Linked DNA regions of Coturnix japonica. The protein of the gene in region 2 purifies or fractionates together with the protein of the main gene of each other region. This does not show direct contact. Links are inferred from orthologs where the notes say so. Each region holds a gene or a part of one and is shown on either strand. Other genes may lie near its edges.

Region 1 (5,294 bases), on a different chromosome or scaffold from region 2:
ATTGCAGAGAAAGGCAACACTCAGCAAAATGTTAAACAAGACTATCCAACTTATCAGAGCTGCACCTGAAGGTTTGGTGATTTTTTTTTTTGTTTGTTTTCTGTTTTTGGTGCTGTGCACATTCTGAGGCTTAAGAAATACAATGCTGTGGAAAGCACCATACAAAACCTATGTGTATTTGTAGAACCAAGATTTGAAGAATTATATCTTTGGATTTTCCCCCCCAGACACCTGCAATGACACATCTTCAACCAATAATTAAAAATAAACAAACTAAACCCCAAAAACCCAGTATTTATTTAAAAAATAAAAAAATTCTCAAAGAACAATTTTATTATTCCTAAAAAGTAAATGAAAGACTCAATCTGTCAAAATACCTAACTGTATTTTGCTTACTTCCAAAAGCATTTTCTTTTTGAGTTGACTGTGATCCACCCACAACGTACTTCAGCCCAAGTGTATCAGTTTTTCATACAGCTCTTTTACTGCAGGGAACACAGCACTTGGTCTAGTCCCACCCTATGCCCAACTGCAATGCCTTCAAGAGCCCCACCTTAGTCATTCCTAACCCCAGGAATAACGGCAAGTTCCTACCTCAAGGAATAGCATCATGTCAGACCTCAAGCAAAGCCAATTTCTACAGCTACAGCTGCAGAAAACTCACAGGCATGTGGCATACTGTCAGGGGCTGGCTGGATTTTAAATCATCTATCCACACAGATGCTCATTTGGCTTCTAGACAGCCTTGTCCTCACCCTGCTGTTGCACACGGCTCTATTCTTTAGACAAGAAAAGGGAATATATAAGAGCCACAGTTTAGCCATATACCAGTTTATACCAGACATCCTGGATTCCCTAAAACCTTAAGAGAGCAAGTACGTTCGGTTTTATAATCAGATACTAGGTGTACTAACAATGAATAAAGATTTGACTCGTCTTCTGTTTGCCACCATCCCTGTACCTTTATTGCCATCATGTGGCCAAAGCAGCAAGGCCTGGAAGAATATAACTGTGAACAAACAGATTTTATCCAAGCTATTTATAACCACTTCAAGAAAGTGCCAAATACTTCCTTAGTAGACAGGCACACATACATACTATGTACTTTTCTTTAGAAACCACAGCTTATGCTCTGTTTAATTATAATCACTACCAGTTTTAAAAAGCCACTATTGCAATTAGTAATTGGGTCTTTATCACCTAAGTCTTGAGGGAAAATGATTAAATGTAAGCTGTCCTTGTTCTGACTGCTTCTCTTCTTGCATCTGCCATGGAGTATCAGGTGCAGAAGAAAACTAAAGGTGGCATCTGAGAGGCATAATCTATGCATGGTCACTAAGCAGGGAAATGCTTTTTATATTGATGTGGTAGAGCCGGAGTCCCAAGTTAATGGGGAAGATGCATACTTCATTGGCTACCAGCAGATCTTTTAATGCTGTGTCATAATCATGAGTTTCAACAGTATCCATTATTATTATTTATATTACTTGGTGATAGGGAGCCTAACCATTGTCATATTTTCATGGACAACTCGTGGCAAAGAGATCTGAAGGACAAGAATGAGGTGCAGCTTCATAGAATTGCTGCAGTCCAAGAGGACAGGTGATAAACTCTTTCTAGTTCCTTTCCCTTTGTTACTTATCAACAGAGCATCTATAGGCCTAATACAATATAGCTGTTTTTCCACACAAAACTTCACTCTTCAGACAGTAAGATGAGGAGTAGCAATCCCAACTGAAGAACTGATGACCTTCAAGGATAAGCAAATGCTTCTAAAACAGTTCCTATTCTTTAGCCTGCAGCGCACCAAATTGCAGAAAACGGCAGAGCAGAGCACATCATGTCTTTCTTTCCCTTATTCCCACCATAGGTCTGAAGGTCTGTTTAGGGCTTCCTCAGCAAAAAGCTTAAAATATTTGCTTCAGAAGGGACACGTGCTGCTTCTCAGCTCAGGATGGCTGGGCAGTCAGCAGGGAGATGCATACATCACCTCCAAAAAGAATAGCAGGAGACATTTACATGGGACACTTCTCCCCATCAGACACTGGTTCTAGAAAGCACACAGACAGACACATTAGGCACCATTTGCTGCTTTGACTTTTGCAAGTCCTTCCTTAGAAGTTTCACCTTGTCAGTCAAAGTGGATGGTGAGAGGAGCTTTCCCCACAACAGCAGACAGATGAACATGGGCAGAGCATCAGTTGCTGTGCTACCACTTGCTTTGGTCACTAGCTAAGATAAGAAAACAACAGAAAAATGAATACTACCAACTTGTTAGCTTCTGCTCTTCTCCATTGCTGTACTATCCTGCATGCCACTTTAAATCACTTCAGTGCCCTAGATTCTTTCATTTCAAAGAAGAAATGCAATAAAACTAATTGAGAACACAGATTGGTAGAAATAAGCAAAGATGGAGGTCCCCACCCCTGCCAACCATATTAAGTCAATGGAAAAATACCATCAAAATTCACATGCTGTTTACATAACCCGAACTCCAAAGAATCACTTACTTTTTGACATCCAGAGAACCATTTTCCTTGTTTTCCATGTCAACAGTTAGCATGGAGAAGAGAGGTTTCCTCAGCAGCTATTAACAGGAAAAAAAGCTGTGTTTAGTTACTGGTGGTACGAAAAGAACAACGTAACACAACAGAAACAAGTATTCTATACAGATGCAACTGTTTCCACCTGAGAGCAAAAGCACTGCAGAAGACCACTTCCGTCAGAGCCTTGGTAAAGCCAGTAATAACTAACGCATTAGGAAAAGTTTGCTTGTGCTTTGAACACAGGAAATAGCACCTTTCTTGATTTTAAGACACAAAGCATCACATACGATCCTTTTTTAAACTGAAACAATTTTGATCTAAGCTACGTAGAGAAAAACCAGCCTGCAATATGTCTACGGTTGGATACCAAGCGTGCTCACAGTGCCTTCAGTCACCCTGCTGTACTGAGGATCCCAAGCAGAAGCATTACTCCTAGCAAGGCTTGGAAACCTACGCCCTTGTTTTACAAAAGGGGATCTGAAACACCGATGAGAAATACAATTTCTACCTCAGTCACAAACCAGCTGGCAAAGCCGAGTCACTGATCGAGTCCAAAACTCCTGAGGCCTAATTGTGCACCTTCTCCGTCAGCCCATCCTTCCTGTGCTTCGCAATGCTTCCTCTATGCACACTGAGCTCGGAGGGGGAAAGGACCGTACAAAGGACACGGGAGGAAAGCCAGCCCGCTGGCCGCTCTCACCGCCCCAGGGAAGGCACAGAGAGCAGCCCAGCCTCCTCCTCCTGCTCTCAAAGGCATTTCTATGTCGGGGAGCACCGTAACTACCCACGGGCTCGGGATGTTCCCGCTGTAGCGTTAATGGACGCCGGCGGTACGACTCAGAGCTCGGGGAAGTACGGAACAGGGAAATCGCGCTCTTCAGCTTAAACTTTGCAAAAGCAAACGATAGCGATTAACGCCGCTGCTTACATAAAATAAAAGGAAAGAAAGGAACCCTTTATTAGGCAGTTACCAGCAGCAGGGAGCAGCACCAAACTGGCGGGTGTGGATGCTCCTTCCACGCTGAGCCCGGAGCACTCGGCGCTGCCCGCGGCCGCCGCTCGGCGCAGCCCAGGTGAGGGCACTGACAGCCGCCGGGACGGAGCTACCGCGACCCCGCCCGCACCTGGGGGGCTCCCGGCGGGCGCTGCGTGACACGCGTGCACCATCTTACGGGCATCTCCGGCAGGCAGCGTGGCACCACATTGTCATTATTTTTTCGTCCGGGGGGGAAGGGGCGGGGGAAGCAAAGACAGACGGACCTACCTACGGGCAACTAAACCGAAGCATGGCTACGCGATGCTCCGGCGCGGCGGAGCCCCTGCCGCCAGCCCCCCGCCGGCAGCGGGGCGCTCGGAGGCGGCTCCGTACGGCAGCGGGCAGCGGCCCCGCCTGGCTCCCGGCCCGAGTGACGCCGCCGCCACACACGGCCCCCACCAACCTCCGCCCGAGTCATGGCGGACGATTTAAAGGCGCCGCTCCTACCTGCGGGAGGGGGCCGGCTGGCTGAATGCCCGCCTGCCTCCTCGGGGCCGCAGGCGAGGGGCATCGGGCTCCTGCGGCCGCTTCCACTCCTCCTACTCACAAGGGTGTGCCGGGGTGTGCCGATGGAGCGGGTGGTGGAGGCGACGAACAACTCCGTAGATAGCTTTGGAAAAGAGCCTCGGGAAACAGGAGGGAAATAGGAACAACCAGGCGTTGCAGAATTGGAGAAGTTGTATCCAACTACTTCTGAAGTGAGTTTGTCAGTACGTGAGTGGGCAGCGAGCGCTGAGCTGCCTCTGAAACCAGAAACGGCATCTCGGGGACCTGAGGCCCTGCTCACACCTGCCCCGAGCACCACACAGTGTGCTGCGCTGGGACACATGTGAGACCCTGCAAGGTTTGCAGTGCTGTGATGTACAAAAGACAGACCTGGCCCACTGGGAGTAACATAACACCTGCTCCTACCTTGCCCTACTAAGACTTGGCAGACCCCCCCCTGTACAATATCCCAGCAACTGTCTCACCACTCCTAACAGCACCAATTTGGTAGCAGTATGGAAATCATTTTGGCATCACCGCCAGAAGCAGCTGAGTGCACCCTGTGTTTGCAGTCAGGGATCCAAGCCCCAAAACAGCAAACCAGATACAGCACAGTAATGGCAAGAAGGGCACAACTGAGCCCATGGGCCAGTAGATATAGTCCCCGCTGAGCATTTCATTATGCCTTAACCAAACGAATAACCAAAGCATACGAAAGCTACACAAATAACGTGATGACTATTGATGACAGTGCTGAAAACTAACAGCAGTGCAAGTCCTCACTGCTTCAGATTTTAAACACAGAGAAACAAGTCAAACAAAGTATTAAACATTCTGCACCCTAAAGAAAACCCTCTTTACCTCAAATCTCAGTGCATACGGTAAAACACGACATATCTGCATTGGACAAGTCACAGAAGGCAGTTCTTTTTGTCTCTTGAGAAACAAGCACTCTAAAAGAGGCCGTAACAAGTTTTCTGCATCAGCTGTTTTCTGACTTTGGTAATGAACTGACATTTGAAGCTACAAATATAGACCAGCTCTTTTCTCTCGCTCTCCCGTGCCTTCCATCATGTTCTCAATTAGTCTTTGGAGCATTTGGCTCAAGGCACACAGCATAAAAGACCTTGAGCAGCAAAGAGAGGAAGTCTGAGAAAACAGGCTGTGGAAGAATTCAGTGCAGAGTATGATCTGCAGCTTGCATTTTCGCTCCTTAGGGTAAGGTG
Region 2 (5,202 bases):
AAAGTAGCAAGAATGACTTTCTGGGATGCTGTCATATGCATTTGTAACAACAGCTTTTGTGCTCGGAAACAAATGCCTCATTTTCTATCTGAGCTTATTCCCCAGAACAGATCAGTCTTCTCCACATGGTATGTGTCCTGTCTGCCCGCACAAAATGGAGCCCTACTCTCTTCTTCCACAGTCTTCTTTACTCCCTACCATAGCCTTCTTAATTCCTTAAGTGCCTTGCACCCCTGAAAATCCTGATATAGTGGATAGCTTTGGATGGACAACAGCAGCTGCCAGCAAGCTTGACCACGGCATGAGTTAGTATATACAGGATGGTAAATAGCTTTTTTTAAAACCAAAACTAAATCAAACCAAACCAAAACATTCTGCTAAAGAGTTTCATTTTTCACCATTTCTAGAAGTGTTGATGTAGTCGAAGCAGTATCTGCATTCACCAGTATTCTCCACACTCAAAAATGTGGCTTAGGAAGCTGCAGGGATTTTCTTAAGCACTGCTTGCACAAGGGTGAGTCCAATTCAGAGATTACAGTGGTATAGTGCAGTATGAGGGGAGAATACTGCAATAAATGACCTGACTCTCATAGAAAGAAGTTTCAGGATTCTCACTTGCCTCTCGTGGAAACTGGGATATCCTTAGCCATGTAACTGCTGGGTCATCTCCAACACAACTGCAATTATCATTTCAAAGATCAACTATGTTGGAGTATTTTTCGTGTCCTACTGCTTTTGTTGGGTGCTTTGTAACAGAGTTTGCCCTATTACCTTGTCACATATCATACAAAAGTGAATGAAGTGATTATGCTCTTGCTAAGTAAAGAGAGCTTCATTCAAATGAAGTTTTCTACATCTCGTAGAGAGAATTAACCAGACCATTTCATTTAACCAAACCATTTCATTAAACTACAGTACCCTATAAGTAGGAATATAAGAATTCAGGTAGTTGCTAATGTTCCTAAGTGATTTCTGTCAAGTGGCAAAACATTGGTATTCCCTGAAGGCTTCAAAGCTGGCACATGAGAGAAAAACACACACCGAAAGTGAGAGTTCAAGGAAGTACATGGAAGGAAAACTATAGAATGTAGCATCTTCCGTTCCATGTCAGCTGTGGTCAATGACAAAATTCAAGTTTATGGATCTAGGAAATGTTTTGGGTGAGGTCAGCTTGCAGTAGCTGAGTTGCTCTTTCAGATGCACAAGCACAATGAAATACAGTGAAGAACTACTCCGCACCACCCTCTGGAACATCCAGCTTAATTTGAGAATCCTGGGCATACATGAATGTAACAGACAGGTCCAATTCAGGTTTTATTTGTATTGTAGTACAATAAGAGTGCAATTTGACTGTACAAATATTGAACAAAATGTAAAAAATATTATTTATGCAATGCTATGGAAGGAAATTAATAGAGCAATGCAACTTACTTCATACTGACCCTGTTTTACCTCATACTATGGGGCAGGTACCAGTCACCAGTGTGATCTGGAAGGGGCACAAAGGGCTCTTGAAATCTTAAGGAACTTCAGCCAAAGAACAGCCTAGCGAAATCTGTGGGAAGATTTTAAATTCTCCAAGTTCTGTACAACGGAAAAACTGTTCTTACTGAGCAACTGCCCACCTCAGTACTAAGATGAGGGCTGCCAAAAGCTTGATCCAACTCTTCTCTCTCTTCTTGTAAAAGCAAAATTCTGGTATATTAGTAGCTAGGCTTTCTCCAGTGTAAAGTGCATCCGGTTTACATCTTATGTGTATATATACCAAGTGCAACAAATTTCCCTGACATAATAAGCCTCCAAGTACCTGCTAGTGGAATCTGCAGCCTTGCTAATGACTTGTTGAAACCCATGCCTTTTACCTAGTTCATGCCTATACAGGATAGGTGTTTAAGTAGCTTTTCCCTCCATGCTTGGGCTTTCCTACTATGCTTAATTCCTTTATAAATCAGATTTTTCAGCTAGGAAGTGGTTGGTTAAATAATTCTCCCACCATTAGGAATACAAGCTTACGTTGAATATGAAGCCAGAGTAGCAGTCCTAGCTTTAGCACACTGTTTATCTCCACTGCTTTGGTATGTATACTGGAGACTATCATGTGCAGCCATGAATAAATATATTTTCTTTTTCTGCTAATAATCTTACCCCAAAATACATGTATTTTCCTTCATGTGTGGAAGGACTGTAAGCAGGCTCCCATGTAAAAGGCTGGGGCTCTATTGTGCAGCATAAATGAATGTCTTCTATGAAGTCAAACTGTATTTTTCAGTTGCAGCCTTCTCTATACTGATCTTTTGGTAAAATACATTAAAGATGCTGGTGGAAAAACTCACATAACATTTTTGTAATCGTGCAAAAGTAAAAACATTCAGTTATCAAAAAAGCATTGTAATTTCAACCCCAACAAGGTTTGGTTTGTTACAAGCAAACAGACAGCTTTATAATCTGTAAAGTTATATGCTGTAGCATAAAGTGTCACATATGTAACATTAACGGTTTCATCTTTAAACTATGGCACAAATTTGTATTAGCCATAACAGTCTCATCTGGCCCATAGCCTAATTTTTGGCTAATCATTTTTTATTTCGATGGTAAGAAATAATAGCTACCAAAAAGTAAAATGGGTACACGAAGCAGAATTCAGGAATTCTTAGAAAATATTAATGTTCCCTTATATAATACAGCATAAATAATCAATGAAGGTTTTTTCTTGATGTCCAGAGAGTGTTAGAGATCCTAACCCTCCATGGAGAATTAGCGCCATTAGTTTGGTAAATAGGACTAGCTGACTTGGTTGTTAAAAAGTACCTTCTCAAAAGCGTGAGCACTTCCCAGAAGGATTCAGATGTATACCGGCTCTAGGAGAATATGAACAGTCCACCAGTGCAGAACATAGTTTTCTTCCTTTCTGAGAGTCCTTACTCAATAATTCTGGTGAGTCTTTGTGCTTTGAATAAAACATGAGCTCCAGTGGAGGAAGCTGGCTTGTACACATTTTCCGTTATCTTCAGAGTTCATTGTGTGAGTTTTTCTCTGCAGCTTTGAACATCAGAATGGAATTAAAGATTTTTAGGGCTGGTCCCAGTTTAATGCTCATTATTTTGACTATGTCTGATTGGGTCATTAGCAGAAATGCTTCTCCATCAATTTGCTTTAAAAGAAAAACACACAAAGCTATTAATAGGTCTGACAGTGAAGCAGTATAGATGGTTCAGAAAACATAAAGAGAAAATTACCTGACAATCTAAAAAGAATGGTTGAATACAAATGCTTTCAAACTCCAGGATAGCTTTGCTATAAACTTTTTAGACAGATTAGTCCAAGAGAACAGGATAATGATCTTTCTGCTTGAAAACAACTGTCTGGCTAATTTGTAGCTAGCCCGTGTTTTTTTTTTTCATACTGACTGTATTAAAAAAAAGCTACTAAAATGTAAAATGAAGTCGAATTCAACAGTGCTGCAACATAGTAACTAATTTTGCCATTTTAGCTTTTCCTTGTATGCAAGCCTTCATAAGCAAGTCTCCAGATTTCACTCCTAGCTAGAAAACTAGAACCCTCTTCAGGCCACTTTTCTCTGTCCATTCAATAGGAAATTAAAATGAATGCCCCAAATGTAAACACGGGTTGGACTAGGTAAAACTGCCTCTGATACAAATGCCTTTTGAAAAAACACCTTTTTTCTCTTGTTGTGTTTCTTTCTTTAATAAAATTTACAAACAAATATTCTACTGTAAGCAAATCATTCTGTCACCAGGATTCTAAATCTGACCATGAAGAGCCAAAGCCCTCACATTCCAGAGCAAACTGGGGCAAATACTTATTGGTAAACTTCAGTATCTTTGCTATCTGCAGCAACTTCTCAGTGTGAACAGGACAGCTAAGCCTAAAAGTCAATTGTGTTTAAACTGGGAGCATTGCTTAGACTTAGAGATACCGACTTGAGATAGAACTAGTGTAATTAATTTCCTGTGAAACCAGGACATGAGCTTTCTGAATCAGACGTGCTGTTAAGGCAGACCACTGCAGCACTGCAAGCTGAGAAGCACTGCAGTGAGATCAGCACCACATGGTTATTGAGGTTACTGTCAACTCACTTTATTTACAAAGCCAGACTGGATGGGCTCAGAACCAGAAGCACTGCAGTATAGGGGTGCCTGGCTTTTTGCAGCTTCATAACATAAGGATGGGGGTTCATCTCCACAGCAGAAGTCTGAACCAACACCTTCTACCTACTGAAAGACCTTCAGTTGTAAGCTTGATAGAGTATTCCAGAATGAACATCATTCATGCCTGTATGCCAATTAGAATTAGTAGACAGGGTATTATTTCTCTGTGAACTGTACAGATGCCAGCCAGTCCACTCCGGTTGGCACCATTGGCAGAGAATGGTCCTGCACAGACAGATGGAGCTTGCTCCCCTATGGGAGGCAAGAATTTTCTTATACCTCTGAAAACAAAAGTATTTAGTATTTATCCATCTCTGTGGCACTCCCAATCTGTTGATTCAATCAGCAGTGCACCAGCTGTTATTGATTTTTAAATCTCTTGGAGAGTCCTCCTAAGTGATGCAGGATGAACTCGGTCTGCATAGCAGATACAATTGTAAAATGCCTAAAATCTAAGCAAGTGCAAAACGCCCAGAGACTGTCGGTCCTTAGATTAAAATCTACATTGCAACCTGGAAACTTCTGTCCCAGAATTAGCAGGGCCATGCTCAGGAGGTGCATTTACCTTCTCAAGTTTAAGTACCACAGTTATTCTCCACTTGCAAGGGATGACAACATGGGATAATACAGCATCATACTTTGCACATTCATATGGCCTGGTAAGGATAAGCACCTGAACTATTCACACTGGCAATCTGTGATCAATTAGCCTTCTTGAAATGCATTAAGTGTGATAAGACCTAGTTGACACTTAGTTTTATCTTCTTTCTTCTCACCCCATTAGCTGCAAAACAACCTTACAGTCCATATACTTGCTTTTGACTTCAAACACAAAATTCATCCAAACACTTCTTATATGTCTTTAGTGATGAAATAAAATTAATCTTTCCATTAAGCTTTGTACTCCATAACTTTTTGAAATAAAATGTACCCACCTCATCTTTAAATACCTTGCCATGTTCTTCACATCCTGGTAAACTCCGTATAAATTCAGAGACCTGCCACAAAGAATAAAACAACAGATTTAATTAGA

The links.
Region 1: the proteins of L3MBTL3 (region 2) and SAMD13 purify together in Homo sapiens (affinity purification with mass spectrometry; 3 studies listed by BioGRID and IntAct, counting the BioPlex papers as one, with this or other methods). This does not show direct contact. The link is inferred for Coturnix japonica from reciprocal best matches to the Homo sapiens genes L3MBTL3 and SAMD13.

Annotation. Positions count from the first base shown.
Region 1 is NC_029523.1:14,552,443-14,557,736, forward strand, and holds the start of SAMD13 (sterile alpha motif domain-containing protein 13), read right to left. Parts: upstream 3,966-5,294; 5' UTR 3,811-3,965; intron 3,756-3,810; exon of another isoform or gene 3,518-3,755; intron 3,193-3,517; exon of another isoform or gene 3,055-3,192; intron 2,588-3,054; 5' UTR 2,564-2,587; coding exon 2,511-2,563; intron 1-2,510.
Region 2 is NC_029518.1:52,473,702-52,478,903, forward strand, and holds the end of L3MBTL3 (lethal(3)malignant brain tumor-like protein 3), read right to left. Parts: intron 5,168-5,202; coding exon 5,105-5,167; intron 3,152-5,104; coding exon 3,008-3,151; coding exon of another isoform or gene 2,923-3,007; 3' UTR 1,291-2,922; downstream 1-1,290. UniProt on the Homo sapiens protein: Is a negative regulator of Notch target genes expression, required for RBPJ-mediated transcriptional repression. It recruits KDM1A to Notch-responsive elements and promotes KDM1A-mediated H3K4me demethylation.